Linked DNA regions of Macaca mulatta. The protein of the gene in region 1 interacts with the protein of each later gene in a pairwise test. Links are inferred from orthologs where the notes say so. Each region holds a gene or a part of one and is shown in the gene's direction. Other genes may lie near its edges.

What was found.
Region 2: the proteins of RGL2 (region 1) and RAP1B interact in a two-hybrid assay, tested with the Homo sapiens proteins (2 studies listed by BioGRID and IntAct). The link is inferred for Macaca mulatta from reciprocal best matches to the Homo sapiens genes RGL2 and RAP1B.

Annotation. Positions count from the first base shown.
Region 1 is NC_133409.1:148,993,980-148,996,745, forward strand, and holds part of RGL2 (ral guanine nucleotide dissociation stimulator-like 2), read left to right. Parts: intron 1-30; coding exon 31-81; intron 82-169; coding exon 170-467; intron 468-735; coding exon 736-987; intron 988-1,069; coding exon 1,070-1,173; intron 1,174-1,280; coding exon 1,281-1,365; intron 1,366-1,445; coding exon 1,446-1,514; intron 1,515-1,735; coding exon 1,736-1,810; intron 1,811-2,432; coding exon 2,433-2,465; coding exon of another isoform or gene 2,466-2,582; coding exon 2,583-2,704; intron 2,705-2,766. UniProt on the Homo sapiens protein: Probable guanine nucleotide exchange factor. Putative effector of Ras and/or Rap. Associates with the GTP-bound form of Rap 1A and H-Ras in vitro.
Region 2 is NC_133416.1:75,773,516-75,777,170, forward strand, and holds part of RAP1B (ras-related protein Rap-1b), read left to right. Parts: intron 1-1,573; coding exon 1,574-1,714; intron 1,715-3,655. UniProt on the Homo sapiens protein: GTP-binding protein that possesses intrinsic GTPase activity. Contributes to the polarizing activity of KRIT1 and CDH5 in the establishment and maintenance of correct endothelial cell polarity and vascular lumen.

The DNA of each region.
Region 1 (2,766 bases):
TGGAGAGATAGATCCTCTTCTTCCCCTCAGGCTGGAAGCCCTTGAATCTCATCCTACCGGTGAACTAGAGAGGACAACAGAGTGAGTGACCCCTGTTTCTTAATCTCACAGTCCACTCTGCCCAGGCTGCAGCTTTACCTCTCACCCTTGGCTGATTCCCTTCTCCCAGGGTAGCCATCTCTGTGCTGTCAACCTGGCTGGCCTCTCACCCTGAGGATTTTGGCTCTGAGGCCAAGGGTCAGCTTGACCGGCTTGAGAGCTTCTTACTTCAGACAGGGTATGCAGCAGGGAAGGGTGTTGGGGGGGGCAGCGCTGACCTCATCCGCAACCTCCGGTCCCGGGTGGACCCTCAGGCCCCCGACCTTCCTAAGCCCCTGGCCCTCCCCGGCGATCCCCCTGCTGACCCCACGGATGTCCTGGTGTTCCTCGCTGACCACTTGGCCGAACAGCTGACCCTGCTAGATGCGGTGAGACCCTGACCTCTGGCCCGTATGCCCCCTGACCCCTTACTAACCTCTCCTTGACTCCAGATCCTTTCCTTGCTTCCACCCTTTCCTGATCCAGCTCCTAGCCTCCTTCACCTACCATTTTGACTTTCCCTTTTTCCTTTTGGTTGTTACCCTTCAAACCCTGTGCCCCTCTGGTTCCTTGGCCACCTGAGATCCTCAGATCCCTAATATTGGAAGGCTGACCTCACTTGACTATGAACTTTAACCTCTTACCTCTACCCTGCAGGAGCTATTTCTCAATTTGATCCCCTCTCAGTGCCTGGGAGGCCTGTGGGGTCACAGAGACCGGCCAGGACATTCTCACCTCTGCCCATCTGTCCGAGCTACTGTCACACAGTTCAACAAGGTGGCAGGGGCAGTGGTTAGTTCTGTCCTGGGGGCTACCTCCACCGGAGAGGGACCTGGGGAGGTGACCATACGGCCACTCCGTCCCCCCCAGAGGGCCCGCCTCCTGGAGAAGTGGATCCGCGTGGCGGAGGTGAGAAAGAAGATTGCCCCACGGTGGGTGGCCATGGCATGGAGAGGGCTCCCATAGCCTTAGCTCTCTTTGACCCCCACAGGAGTGCCGGCTGCTCCGAAACTTCTCTTCAGTTTATGCTGTGGTGTCAGCCCTGCAGTCCAGCCCCATCCACAGGCTTCGGGCAGCCTGGGGGGAAGCAACCAGGTGGGGAGGCTGAGGCATTGGACTGGGGTGGGGGTTCCTCAGAAGGCAGGGAAGAGGGGGTGACAGAGCCAGGCCTGTCCTCAGGGCCACTTTTCTCCCTCCCCCAGGGACAGCCTCAGAGTCTTTTCTAGCCTCTGCCAGATTTTCTCCGAAGAGGATAATTATTCCCAGAGTCGGGAGCTGCTCGTGCAGGTGAGAGCCTGGTTTGTGGCATTCCCCCCTCTCCCTGCTCCCTACTGCTCCCCCATGTCTCTTTATTTTGTCACCACCAGGAGGTAAAGTTGCAGTCTCCTCTGGAGCCACACTCCAAGAAGGCCCCGAGGTCTGGCTCCCGGGGTGGGGTGAGTGACTAGCTGGGTGGTGGGCTTGGGGGTTGTGATTATGAAGGGGTGAGGAGTATGTTTTAGGGGAGCAGCCTGAAGGATGGGTAAGGGAGGCACAGAGGGGTGAGGGGTGAGGAGAATGAAATCTGTTCTCTGAGGCAATGGGGAGGGCAAGTGCGGAGGGACGGAGGGCCCTCACATCAATGGCAGGCACGTCTGACCCTGACCCCTGACCTCAGGGTATAGTCCCATACCTTGGCACCTTCCTGAAGGACCTTGTGATGCTGGATGCAGCCTCCAAGGATGAGTTGGAGGTCAGTGGTGTGTGTGTGTGTGTCATTATGATGATGTAACAAGTGGGCTGCAGGGTCCGACAGATCCCCCCCTTGCAAGGGGCTGTAAGGCACAAATAGCTGAGTGTAGGACAAAGCCAGATCTATTTCTGTGCCAAGTCGCCTCAGTGGTCTGTAAATGAGAAACTAGAAATAGCATCTACATTGATCTGTTATTATAAGGGTTAAATGAATTGTATTTGTCAAGCGCTTAGAACATGCCTGAAACGTAAGCACATCTAGGTTTTGTGATGGGGTCCTGCTCTATTGCTAGAGTTTGTTAAATAAACAAATACTGAGACCTTGGGCAAGTTCCTTATCCTCTCTGGATGAGGAATCCTATCCAATTGGATACTATCCAGTCTTCTCATCTGCAAAGCAGACTAGTTGTCTACCTGAGATATTAAATTTCAAGGGTCAAGTGCAGTGCTTAGGCCATGATAGATTGAGGGGGAAGGCAGGGAGGGATGGAAGAGTCAGAGAGGCTAGAGGGAAGTGATTGTGAGTTGGATGTGGCTGTGTGTGTTTAAGAGAGGGGATATTCTCTCTCTGTGGCCTGGAAGGTAGTGTTAGAACTTCCACCCCATCCCCATTTTCCTCGCAGAATGGATACATCAATTTTGACAAGCGGAGGAAGGTGAGTGGAGTGCCTGGGCTGGATGCTGGACTTCTCAATCCATGTTCCCGGAAGGGGAGGGGGGAAAGTCAGGTGTCCCTGAGTTTTGGCTCCTGCAGTTTGAGGGCTCCTTCCCAGGAGTTTGCAGTCCTTTCTGAGTTGCGACGGCTCCAGAATGAATGTCGTGGCTATAACCTCCAACCTGACCATGATATCCAGAGGTGGCTACAGGGGCTCCGGCCACTGACAGAGGCTCAGAGGTGACTGGCGGGTGAGGTTGGGACTCTAGGGCTCTGGCCAGGTGTGGGGGATTGGTGTCATG
Region 2 (3,655 bases), on another chromosome or scaffold:
AGGAGTTCGAGACCAGCCTGGCCAACACAGTGAAACCCCATATCTACTAAAAATATAAAAAAATTAGCCGAGTGTGGTGGTACACACCTGTAATCCCAGTTACTCGGGAGGCTGAGGCAGGAGAATAGCTTGAACCCAGGAGGCGGAGGTTGCAGTAAGCCAAGATCGTGCCACTGCAGTCCAGCCTGGGCAACAAAGCAAGACTCCGTCTCAAAAACAAAACAAAAAAAAGTATATTGCACTTTTTGTAATTGCAGTGGGTCATTTAAAAGTTTAGAAAATGTGTTAGAAGGAAAATTTTCAGTCTCACTAGTACTTTTAAAACAATATATTACCATATTTCAAATAATACAGGCATACATTCATTCCTCAGCAGCTGTGTGAAATATTTTGATTGAGGCTGGGTGCGATGACTCATGCCTTGTAATCCCAGCACTTTGGGAGGCCAAAGTGGGTGGATCGCCTGAGGTCAGGAGTTCCAAGACCAGCCTGGCCAACATGGTGAAACCCCGTCTCTATTAAAATACAAAAATTAGCCAGATGCAGTGGCAGGCACCTGTAGTCCCAGCTACTCAGGAGGCTGAGGCAGGAGAATTGCTTGAACCTTGGAGGTAGAGGTTGCAGTGAGCTGGTAACGCACCACTGCACTCCAGCTTGGGTGACAGAGCGAGTCTCCATCTCAAAAGAAAAAGAAATATTTTGATTGGTATCTGTTCTCCTTCCAGGTATTTATAGACAAACTAGATTTGTAGGTATGTGAAGAGGAAGGGAAAATTTGTTGTTGGTGTATGGTATTCATTCAGCTAATGTTTGAATACCTGATACATGTCAGTCACTGTGTTCTTACCTTCGAATGCTCTCAGTCTAGCGAAGAAAAAGTAGTATGGGAAAATGGGATGGTGTAGATCATGCTAATGGAGCCCTACAGAACTACAGCATTTGAGTCATAGCTGTATAGATTAACTTGGCTGATACAGTTGAGGTGCTCTTACACATTATGATGTATTTTTAAAAGCTGCCTTTAGTAACTTTTGGGGACGGGATATTTCTGTTCCACTTGAGTATATTTTTTATATATAAATCTACTTTGGTGTATGATTTTAAAATAAGAAACCTATTTCTGGCCAGGTGTGATGGCTCACGCCTGTAAATCCTAGCACTTTGGGAGGCCGAGATGGGCAGATCACGAGGCCAGGAGATGGAGACCATCCTGGCCAACATAGTGAAACCCCATCTCTACCAAAATACAATAGCCGGGCATGGTGGCACCCGCCTATAGTCCCAGCTACTCTAGAGGCTGAGGCAGGGGAATCACTTGAACCCGGAAGGCAGAGGTTACAGTGAGCTGAGATCGCGCACTGCACTCCAGCCTGGTGACAGAGCAAGACTCTGTCTCAAAAAAAAGGAACTAAAATGCCAGTTTTTCAAATAGTATCTTGTCATAGATTGTAATTTTAACAAAGTTACATAATACTACAATATTCTTCATTGAGCTATAATTATAGACTTCGAAATTGTAAAAATAACTGTCAAAACATTCTTGTTTTTTAACGTTCCTTTCTTTCTATTGTAGGAACAATTTACAGCAATGAGGGATTTGTACATGAAAAATGGACAAGGATTTGCATTAGTTTATTCCATCACAGCACAGTCCACATTTAACGATTTACAAGACCTGAGAGAACAGATTCTTCGAGTTAAAGACACTGATGATGTAAGCTGACTTCCTAATAAATATATTTTATTTCAAAACTCTGATTATAATTGTATAAGTCTAAATTTAAATTCATTTTAAAGCTCATGTATTTTGGTGGGGAGGGGGGTGGAGGTTTTTTTATACTTTTTCCTTGAAAGGCAAAAATACCCATACATGTTTTCAAATATATATCATGTGGAAAGTGAGAAATTTCCTCATTTGCCATTATCCTGTGAAAATTAAATGTTCAAGCCTGTAATCTCAGCACTTTGGGAGGCCGAGACGGGCGGATCACGAGTTCAGGAGATCGAGACCATCCTGGCTAACACGGTGAAACCCCATCTCTACTAAAAAAATACAAAAAAAATTAGCCGGGCGAGGTGGCGGGCGCCTGTAGTCCCAGCTACTCGGGAGGCTGAGGCAGGAGAATGGCGTGAACCCGGGAGGCGGGGCTTGCAGTGAGCTGAGATCCGGCCACTGCACTCCAGCCTGGGCAACAGAGCCAGACTCCGTCTCAAAAAAAAAAAAAAAAGAAAATTAAATGTTATACCCTTCCTTCTTTTTTTTTTCTTTGAGACACAGTCTCGCTCTGTCGCCCAGGCTGGAGTGCGGTGGCCCGATAGCTCCGCCTCCCGGGTTCCCGCCATTCTGCTGCCACAGCCTCCCAGGGTAGTTGGGACTACAGGTGCCCGCCACCATGCCTGGCTAATTTTTTGTATTTTTAGTAGAGGCGGGGTTTCACCATGTTAGCCAGGATGGTCTCGATCTCCTGACCTTGTGATCCACCCGCCTCAGCCTCCCAAAGTGCTGGGATTACAGACATGATCTACTGCCTCTGGCCTTTTTTTTTATTTTTATTTTATGAGACAGAATTTCACTCTGTCTCCAGGCTGGAGTGTCACTCTGTCACCAGGCTGGAGTGCAGTGGCGCAGTCTGGGCTCACTGCATCATCCACCTTACTGGGTTCAAGCAGTTCTCCTGCCTCAGCCTCCTGAGTAGCTGGGACGAAGGCGCATGCCACTATACCTGGCTAATTTTTGTGTTTTTAGTAGAGACGGGGTTTCACCATGTTGGTCAGGATGGTCTCCTGACCTCAGGTGATCCACCCACCTCGGCCTCCCAAAGTGCTGGGATTACAGGCATGAGCCACTGTGCCCGGACAATAATAATAATAATAATTTTTAAAGAAAGGCGCCGGGCGCAGTGGCTCAAGCCTGTAATCCCAGCACTTTGGGAGGCTGAGACAGGCGGATCACGAGGTCAGGAGATCGAGACCAGCCTGGCTAACACGGTGAAACCCCGTCTCTACTAAAAAAAAAATACAAAAAACTAGCCGGGCGAGGTGGCGGGTGCCTGTAGTCCCAACTACTCGGGAGGCTGAGGCAGGAGAATGGCGTAGACTTGGGAGGCGGAGCTTGCAGTGAGCTGAGATCTGGCCACTGCACTCCAGCCTGGGCGACAGAGCCAGACTCCGTCTCAAAAAAAAAAAAAAAAAAAAAAGAAAGGCAACAAATACATTAGATTCTAACATTATTAATTTAGGTGCCCCTTCAGAGTCTACCATAATGGAGTTTAGTTCCTCATCACACTAAATACAGCAGTGGTTCTCAAAATTGATTTTGCATCAGAATCACCTGTAGGACGCAGTGGCTCAAGCCTGTAATCCCAGCACTTTGGGAGGCAAAGGCAGGTAGATCCCCTGAGCTCAGGAGTTCAAGACCTCCCTGGGCAACACAGCAAAACCCCACCTCTACCAGAAATTTAAAAAAAAAAAAAAAAAAAAATTAGCCGGCGTGGTGGCGCGTGCCTGTGGTCTCAGCTACTTGGGAGGCTGAGGTGGGACAATTGCTTAAGCCTGGGAAGTAGAGGTTGGCAGTGCGCCCAGATCACATCACTGCACTCCAACCAGGGTGACAGAGTGAGACCCTGTCTCAAAATAAATAAATACAACTCGTTGT